3 linked regions of the Saccharomyces cerevisiae S288C genome follow. The gene in region 1 interacts genetically with each later gene. Each region holds a gene or a part of one and is shown in the gene's direction. Other genes may lie near its edges. The genes, in order: TPH3, YOR192C-C and RTS2.

Region 1 (4,349 bases):
GAAAAGAATATTAAAAGACTTTTACCCTCAAATTTGGTTAATTTTGAAAATGACATTAACTCGCTGACAAAACAGGTTGAGACAATTTCAACTTCCATGAGTGAGTTACAGAGGCGAAATCACAAATTTACGGTCGAGAATGTTACTCAATGGCAAGATCAACTGGTAAAACAGTTGGATACACACCTCCCTCAAGAAATACCCGTTGTAATTAATAATTCTTCGTCGCTTTTAATAATCCCTGAATTGCACAATTATTTGAGTGCTTTGATTTCAGACGTTATTGAGTCTCCAGGCATTGGTACTGCTGGAAGCGCTGAAAGTCGTTGGGAGTATGATTTGAATCGCTATGTAAAGGAAATTCTTTCGAATGAGTTGCAATATATCGATAAGGATTATTTCATCCAAGAAATGAACAGAAGGTTGCAATCTAACAAACAGGAGATTTGGGAAGAGATCACAAATAGGTTAGAGACACAGCAGCAGCAGCAGCAGCAGCAGGTTCAACAGGATTATTCTAACGTGCCACAGCAGTATTCGAGCATATTAATGAAAAGATTAATTCACCAAATTTACAATTCCAATCAACACCAATGGGAGGACGATTTAGATTTTGCTACTTATGTTCAAGGTACTAAACTATTGAACCATTTAACTTCACCAACCTGGAGACAGGGCAGTGGGGTACAGCCGATAGAATTACTGACCGACTCCAAACAAAGCTCCTCAACTTACTGGCAATGTGAGAACGAACCTGGGTGTTCATGGGCCATAAGGTTTAAAACTCCTTTGTATCTAACCAAAATTTCGTACATGCATGGCCGTTTTACTAATAACCTACATATAATGAACTCAGCACCAAGACTGATCTCATTATATGTAAAACTGTCACAGACTAAAGAGATCAAAGCATTGCAGACATTGGCAAATCAATACGGTTTCGGGCAGCATCACAAGAGAGACCGAAATTACATCAAGATCGCAAAATTTGAGTACAGGTTGACAGATTCTAGAATACGCCAACAAATGTATCTGCCCCCATGGTTCATTCAGTTAAAACCACTCGTACGCTCAATTGTCTTTCAAGTGGACGAGAACTACGGGAACAAAAAGTTCATATCTCTGAGGAAATTTATCATCAACGGAGTGACACCGCAGGATTTGCAAATAATTGAAAATAACGAGTTCCCTGTTTTACTGGGTGACACCCCAGAATATGGTGTCACTCAGAACACCGACGAAGGCAAGAGGAAAGTTCTCCTATCAAAGCCTCCTTACGCGTCTTCATCTACTAGTACCAAGTTTCATCCCGCTTCTAACGTCCCATCATTTGGCCAAGATGAGCTAGATCAATAAACGACAATAAAAAATTAAACGTTCTAACCCCCTGGCCCCCAGAAAATCGCGCAGATTGACGGCACTCCCTTTAAATCATAGAGTTAATCAGCTACTCACCACTCTCTTTCGGTACTGGCGTTATTCTGAATTCCAACCTTGAACACAGCCACACGGCATTCAGATGTTGCTCCCATGCGTGGACTCACGCTCTGCGATTAACAGCTCATGGAAATTTCCTCGTGCTATTTAAGACTGCAGTCGTTTGGAAATCGGAATATCTTTTTTCGTGCAGTTTTGCGGGAAATTTTCCCTACTTAAAAAGCTGAATGAAAATCAGAAATATCTGCAAAAAAAAAAGGTAAAAAAGGGAAATTTTAAGACATAGCATAAAGGACTTGGTTTTGTTTCAATACTCAGCCCTTTTCATTCATTTCTATCACAAGTTTTTTTTTGCTCTCGTTTCCATTTTCTTCGTTTACTTATTATTGACGTACATCTTTTTTAGTTTCAAATAACATAGCAAGAAGGCTTAACTAAGTTCCTATATTCTTGGCATATTTATCATCATCAGGTCTTTTAAAAGTATCTCAGAACGTAACTTCAACGCCTTTAGATTTTTTTCACAACACGACTCTATTGCAAGAGACAAAAAAAATTAAAATGGGCATTTTGGACTCGCTGAAAAAACCTGTTAATATCAAGAGTTCGCTCCCCAAATTCTCCCGCAGTGCTACCAGCATCAATTTAAGTAGCCACCCAGTAAGTTCACGGTCCTTCCTCGAATTACCACCAGAGCTTTTCAGCATCACTAAACCTATATTTAAGCTTCTGCAAGCACACGCAAATAAGATTTACTTCCAATCTTCCGACGCTGAGGCTGTATGGAATGTTAAGGATTCTTCTGGACATGTTTTTGAAGCAGAGTCAATTTCTTTGCTCGGCTCTCATATAATTATCACAAATTCCTCTGTACAAGTCGCAGACGTGGCCATCATAGATTCCCCTTCCAACATAAACCAATGTGAAATTTCAAGCGTTGGAGAGTTCCTGCAATTCAATAATGGCCAACTATCTATCACATGTAACGATTTTGGTTTACTGGAGAAGTTCAAAAGGTTGTGTATGATTTCTATTTTTGAGTTCATTTCTATATATAAGGCCTTGACAGGCACAGTGATTTCCTCTTATGGGCTGAGAATGTCTGATATGCATATCATTTTGAACTCGCCGTTCAATTTTAAGGATTGGTGTGAAGTTTATCTTGATGGTCAAGGTTGGGTGAAAGTGTGGTGTCATATTGATAAAGTGTCTAAAACCAATAATTCTAAAAGTAGTAGTGACAATGATGCTAAAGGAAAGTATCAAATACGGTTTTATAGAGATGACAAATCCACATCTAGCAAGAACTGCGTTTTTTTTATTCCTGACAATGAGTACGTTCAAGATATTTTCTTTTATAACATCAATGCGGCAGAACCTTCTAAAAATATGAACGACTTTTTTCAAGGGTTGCAAATGATAAAGCTCGTTGGTAATGTACGCTTTTGCAGTGATACGGACTTTAATGATGTGGTGGATAGTGGATCCATCTATAGTAGTGCAAACAACGGCAGTGGTGACAGCAGCTCGACAGCATTGAATAATGAAAGTCCTAACACTACACCAAAAAGTAGAACTTTCTTTTCACCTAAAGGGCACAGAAGAAATAGCTCCCATGTAAGTTCGTTAACTTCTAGATCAACAAAAAAGCCTATAACTAACTTCACTACACGTACAAATGGGCTTTTGATTAGGCCATTGCCCCATCATGGCGTACATCACCTGGAAGCAATGATCAGGTTCATTATTCCTTTGATGGATTGTGCAAGACTTTATGGGCGTCCAGTTCAATTCAAGACAGAAAGAACCGATATAAATTCGTTAATGTTTGGATTACCTAAATTGCCCTCAGTGGATTATTTTGCTGAAGAGGAGATTGCCCATTTGATGACCCAGGAATTTAATCCTTTGAAAGAAAAAGATACTGACGATACTATGGCTTTAACTATGTCAAGATTTTCTAGCTACCTGCAAGAAAGAATGACAAAAGTCTCCAAGAGAAACACAGAACTCAACTTCAGGACCTTTAGTGATGTAATGGGCATGTATAATACTACGAGGGATCACTCTAAACTTAATTGCATGAGTGACAAGGATAATTCTGTGAAGGAATTTTCATTGAGTGATAAAAGCAATGTTAGTTCTGAAACGACTAATATGATGAATCAATTGCAAGTAAACGCCCATGAATACAAAAGTTCTATGTGCGAACGTCCTATCGTCGCAAGTACTTCGCCCATTGCATAGTTCTTCGCATATATAGCCACATCTCAAAAACTTACATACAGTGTATATATTTGTGGTACAGTTTCTGTATAGCCAAATATACCCTGATATAATCTTATGTGATATTATATACTTCCATCCTAATACTAAACTTTTTCGTTTAACGTGACGCATGGTGCGAAGAAAAAAAAATAGCAAATCGCCACTCAATAAAGTGAGTAGAGAGCATTATATCAAAAAAGCATCGATAATATCGAGTGATCATACGTTGAAAATCATCAAGTACAATAGTGATATAAGCCACAATGCAAGCTCCAGTGGTATTTATGAATGCTTCTCAAGAGAGAACTACCGGTCGTCAGGCCCAAATCTCCAATATCACTGCTGCAAAGGCAGTTGCCGATGTCATTCGAACTTGCTTAGGTCCAAAAGCTATGTTAAAGATGTTATTGGATCCTATGGGCGGTCTTGTGTTGACTAACGATGGCCACGCTATTTTAAGGGAAATTGATGTTGCACATCCAGCAGCTAAATCAATGTTGGAGTTATCCCGTACTCAAGACGAAGAGGTTGGTGACGGGACTACAACAGTTATTATTCTAGCTGGTGAGATTTTAGCTCAGTGTGCACCTTATTTGATTGAAAAAAATATTCACCCTGTTATTATTATCCAAGCCTTGAAGAAA
Region 2 (2,688 bases), on another chromosome or scaffold:
ATGGAATAATAAGAATATGAGAAGTCTGGAACCACCAAGATCGAAGAAACGCATAAATTTAATTGCAGCAATAAAAGGAGTGAAATCGATCAAACCAGTTCGAACGACCTTAAGATATGATGAAGCAATTACTTATAATAAAGACAACAAAGAAAAAGACAGATATGTTGAAGCTTATCATAAAGAAATTAGCCAACTATTGAAAATGAACACTTGGGATACAAACAAATATTATGATAGAAATGACATAGATCCTAAAAAAGTAATAAACTCAATGTTTATATTTAACAAGAAACGTGATGGTACACACAAAGCTAGATTTGTTGCAAGAGGCGACATTCAACACCCCGATACATATGATTCTGATATGCAATCCAATACCGTACATCACTATGCACTGATGACGTCACTGTCAATCGCATTAGACAACGACTATTATATCACACAGCTGGACATATCCTCTGCTTACTTATATGCTGATATCAAAGAAGAATTATACATAAGACCTCCACCACATTTAGGTTTGAATGATAAATTACTACGTTTGAGAAAATCACTCTATGGTTTGAAACAAAGTGGTGCAAACTGGTATGAAACCATTAAATCATATTTAATAAATTGTTGCGACATGCAAGAAGTTCGCGGATGGTCATGCGTATTTAAGAATAGTCAAGTAACAATTTGCTTATTCGTTGACGACATGATTTTATTTAGCAAAGACTTAAATGCAAATAAGAAAATCATAACAACACTCAAGAAACAATACGATACAAAGATAATAAATCTGGGTGAAGGTGATAACGAAATTCAGTACGACATACTTGGATTAGAGATCAAATATCAAAGAAGCAAGTACATGAAATTAGGTATGGAAAAATCCTTGACAGAAAAATTACCCAAACTAAACGTACCTTTGAACCCAAAAGGAAAGAAACTTAGAGCTCCAGGTCAACCAGGTCATTATATAGACCAGGATGAACTAGAAATAGATGAAGATGAATACAAAGAGAAAGTGCATGAAATGCAAAAGTTGATTGGTCTAGCTTCATATGTTGGATATAAATTTAGATTTGACTTACTATACTACATCAACACACTTGCTCAACATATACTATTCCCCTCTAGGCAAGTTTTAGACATGACATATGAGTTAATACAATTCATGTGGGACACTAGAGATAAACAATTAATATGGCACAAAAACAAACCTACCAAGCCAGATAATAAACTAGTCGCAATAAGCGATGCTTCATATGGTAACCAACCATATTACAAGTCACAAATTGGTAACATTTTCCTACTCAACGGAAAAGTGATTGGAGGAAAGTCGACAAAGGCTTCGTTAACATGCACTTCAACTACAGAAGCAGAAATACACGCAGTCAGTGAAGCTATACCGCTATTGAATAACCTCAGTCACCTTGTGCAAGAACTTAACAAGAAACCAATTATTAAAGGCTTACTTACTGATAGTAGATCAACGATCAGTATAATTAAGTCTACAAATGAAGAGAAATTTAGAAACAGATTTTTTGGCACGAAGGCAATGAGACTTAGAGATGAAGTATCAGGTAATAATTTATACGTATACTACATCGAGACCAATAAGAACATTGCTGATGTGATGACAAAACCTCTTCCGATAAAAACATTTAAACTATTAACTAACAAATGGATTCATTAGATCTATTACATTATGGGTGGTATGTTGGAATAAAAATCAACTATCATCTACTAACTAGTATTTACGTTACTAGTATATTATCATATACGGTGTTAGAAGATGACGCAAATGATGAGAAATAGTCATCTAAATTAGTGGAAGCTGAAACGCAAGGATTGATAATGTAATAGGATCAATGAATATTAACATATAAAATGATGATAATAATATTTATAGAATTGTGTAGAATTGCAGATTCCCTTTCATGGATTCCTAAATCCTTGAGGAGAACTTCTAGTACATTCTACATACCTAATATTATTGCCTTATTAAAAATGGAATCCCAACAATTATCTCAAAATTCACCCACTTTTCAAAAACACACGCCGATTGGTCATATTAATCATGACCAATATAATAGTGATTCCGGTAGTTACTATACATTGATGTGACGACTCATATTCCTCATATATGTACCTACCATATCATGTTCAACTAATAGGTCTTTAACACAGCTTCAGTATGGTCTGAGCTTCTCGTTTAACATTCCTTCTGCAATAGGCACAATCACACTTAAACGTATACGAGGTGTACATTAATATACGATGTAAGCATTAGATTGTTACCATAGCAACTCATGTCACTATTAATTACTCTCGTTCCAACAGAATCAACGTAAGATATTGGTGAATTTTGAGATAATTGTTTGGATTCCATTTTTGATAAAGGCTATAATATTATATATACAGAATATACTAGAAGTTCTCCTCCAACTCTAAAATGTCATCTGTTAAATAGTATTAGTGTTACTAGTATACTATTACATGCGGTGAAAGAAGATGGCATAAAGATTGAGAAATAATCGTAATATTATTTGTTGAACTACCGATTCCATTTTGGGGATTTCTATATCCTGGAGGAGAATTTCTAGTATATTCTGTATACCTAATATTACAGCCTTTGAAAAGAATGGAAACCCTACCATTATCACAAAATTCGTAGAATTCACAGTAGAAACCTTAGTG
Region 3 (3,332 bases), on another chromosome or scaffold:
TCGTGAAGTCTTCGGTATTATGAATCTTAACAAGAACCTCTAAAATGTCAGGGTTCAAACCGACTGATATATTATTTTTTGTGTTAGTCTCCAGTATTTGTTTTGAATTCTTCATTCTTGAAACTATACCATAGTAATGAAAATCTTCATATTGTGTATGAATTTCAATTGTCTGGCCTGATTGAATATATCCGCTGTTGATCAAGACTTTGAGTGACACGTAATTTATCTCCGCTATCGGTTGAAGAACAGAAGATTGCAGTATTGTGCCTACAAATGGCTCTTCCAAAGTTGTTTCTATTTTGTTCATATTATGCTCTACCAATAGATATAGTTGCGAAAAAAATGTCGGACCTTCATACCATTCGGGAACATAATTTATAGAGTCAAATTCTGACTTATACTTAGATTTTGTGATGTTTTCAGTTTTATTCAAATTCGAACCTAATAAACCCGAACACGGGATAAATTGGAATTCTGCGTCTGTCCACTGAAAGTTTTCCTTCAACACATAATTTAGCTCAGACTGAATCATTTCTAGTCGGTGCTTATCCCAACTAATTAGATCTGCCTTATTCAAAAGAATTATCAAGTGCTTTTTGCATGCGGAATTCTTGTTCAAATAAGAGATCACTTTTAAAATTTCATAAATCTGATTATTTGGACCATCTAATGATTTTTCCCACGAGTCATAATTGCAATCAATAACCAATACATAAACTTCAGGATCAAAGGTCAAAATTGAGTTCAGAGTTTCTTTATTGAAGTATTTGATACTACCAGGAGTGTCTATAAGCGTCAAGGTTGATGATGGCGGTAGTAAATCATTTTCTACCTGAATAACTTTCTTAAACATGGAAAATCCATTTTCTCTTTCTGTTTTGGTATTGTCTAGAATGACCTTAAAACTATTTGAAGATGAAGGATCCAAATTACTGCTTTTTTTTTGTAGTTCCCTCATTGATGACATAGAAATTTCGTTTAGATCATATAAAAGATGACCAAGCAAAGTGGATTTGCCTGCGTTTGTATCACCGAGGAACAAACATGTCAAATTCAGAGGATGGGTGGCAATGAATGAATGAATATCAATCGACTCAGTAGGTGGTGTTTGAAGGTTAATTGGTTCCTTTTTTTCGGCCTTGGGCACAGATTTGATATTTAAGTTTTCTAATTTTTCATTGAAAGCATTAAGTTGGGCCGATTGTATTATATCATCAGGACTTGGTCTATTGAAATTCTCAATGGCTACTTTACGAGTTGTTTTCGGCAGGTTACAAGGCACAAAAATACCAAGGAGCTCATTGTTATGCTTTTTTAAGGACAGAAATGATGAATTCTGCGACGATAGCGGTATTGATGTACTCAACGAGTTTTTTTTATCTTTTATGATAAAGTTTGTGAACGCAAAATCGTCGGTTTGATTTATGCATGGATCGTTTTTCAAGAAACAGTAATGGTTCATTTCTTTAATAGCCTTCCATGACTCTTCTAAGTTGAGTTTATCATCAGGCGATTTCCTTTTGGTAGGGAGTTCGTTTTCTTTGCTGTCTAATGTCACTGATTTTCCTTGTTTCTCCAAATCACTATTTGACTTCTTTAAGGCAGACAACTTTAAACTCAATGAAACACTATGCTGGTTCGGGGTAAAGTCGCTTCTTTTTACCTTGTCTTTTGCAAGTAGCGTCTTCAGATCCTTCCTTTTTGTCTCAGCATTGTTATCTTTAGTTTCTCTATTCTTATGTAGTCTTTCTAGTAAGGATGCACTTTTCGATGTACTATGAGACTGGTCCGCACTTAAAAGGCCTTTAGATTTTTCTATTCTTTTTCTTGCTAATTGCTCTAATAACGACATGTCAGGTGGTACTGTAAGTTTCGAAGACCACCTCCTCGTACGTGTATTGTAGAAGGGTCTCTAGGTTTATACCTCCAATCTGTTATAGTACATATTATAGTACACCAATGTAAATCTGGTCCGGGTTACACAACACTTTGTCCTGTACTTTGAAAACTGGAAAAACTCCGCTAGTTGAAATTAATATCAAATGGAAAAGTCAGTATCATCATTCTTTTCTTGACAAGTCCTAAAAAGAGCGAAAACACAGGGTTGTTTGATTGTAGAAAATCACAGCGATGGCAGATTATGATAGTGCGAAATATTGGTCCAAGCAGGGAGCTCGTCGTGGGTTACAGAAAACCCGTTACTACTGCCAAATATGCCAAAGGCAATGTAAAGATGCAAACGGATTTCAATCACATAACAAATCGCCATCTCATTTAAGGAAGATTAGTCAAGTGACAGCTGAGGACGCTAGGCGCTACAATATCCAGTTTGAAAAGGGATTTCTACAGTTATTGAAGCAGCGGCACGGAGAAAAATGGATTGATGCTAACAAAGTATACAACGAGTATGTTCAAGATCGCGATCATGTACATATGAATGCCACCATGCATCGTTCTTTGACGCAGTTTGTCCGGTACCTAGGCCGCGCGGGCAAGGTAGACGTGGATATGGATATTGATGATACATCTGAGAACGTTGAAGGTCCTTTGCTTATCAGGATCCATCCCTCATCTTTATCATCACCTTCTGAAGATGGAATGCTGCGAAGTCAACAAGAGGAGCAAGAAGTCATAGCCGCCGAGCTTTTGAAAAGACAACTCAATCGTGCTAAGCGACAAACTGAAAAGGTATATCAACCAGAGATGAAATCGGAAATTAGCGGGGATAGCACTCTGAAACGTGTTCAAGTCACCTTCCACGGGAATGGTCGGGTAAATAAAAAGAAAAAGAAGGTTCCTCCACGGAAAGATGGTATCAAGTTCCGTTGATTGAAAATTTTTCTTTTCAAGCGATGAGGTTAGCGAAGTTGTTCGAACAAGCCCAAATATGTTTAGAAGGCAGTACGAATTGATACCCTGAACTGTTACTACCCGTATACACGTATTAAGTAAGACAATGAGTAATGGACACGTCAAGTTTGATGCCGATGAAAGTCAAGCCAGCGCAAGTGCTGTCACGGATAGACAAGATGATGTGCTGGTAATATCAAAAAAGGACAAGGAAGTGCATTCAAGTAGTGATGAGGAAAGTGATGATGATGATGCTCCACAAGAAGAAGGGCTTCACTCTGGGAAAAGTGAGGTAGAATCACAGATCACTCAGAGGGAGGAGGCTATAAGGCTGGAACAATCACAATTGCGGTCCAAGAGAAGGAAGCAAAATGAATTATACGCCAAGCAAAAGAAATCAGTGAATGAGACAGAGGTCACTGATGAAGTAATTGCGGAGCTTCCTGAGGAATTGCTAAAAAATATAGATCAGAAGGACG

Evidence for each region.
Region 2: mutations in TPH3 (region 1) and YOR192C-C together harm fitness more than expected from each alone (negative genetic interaction), as found in Saccharomyces cerevisiae (one large-scale study listed by BioGRID).
Region 3: mutations in TPH3 (region 1) and RTS2 together harm fitness more than expected from each alone (negative genetic interaction), as found in Saccharomyces cerevisiae (one large-scale study listed by BioGRID).

What each region holds. Positions count from the first base shown.
Region 1 is NC_001142.9:403,590-407,938, forward strand, and holds TPH3 (Tph3p), read left to right. Parts: upstream 1-1,998; coding exon 1,999-3,684; downstream 3,685-4,349. Other genes in the region: MPS3 (Mps3p), read left to right, coding at 1-1,356; chaperonin-containing T-complex subunit CCT3, read left to right, coding at 3,969-4,349.
Region 2 is NC_001147.6:703,415-706,102, reverse strand, and holds YOR192C-C (uncharacterized protein), read left to right. Parts: upstream 1-1,878; coding exon 1,879-2,115; downstream 2,116-2,688.
Region 3 is NC_001147.6:469,766-473,097, forward strand, and holds RTS2 (Rts2p), read left to right. Parts: upstream 1-2,133; coding exon 2,134-2,832; downstream 2,833-3,332. Other genes in the region: SKI7 (Ski7p), read right to left, coding at 1-1,855; BUD21 (Bud21p), read left to right, coding at 2,960-3,332.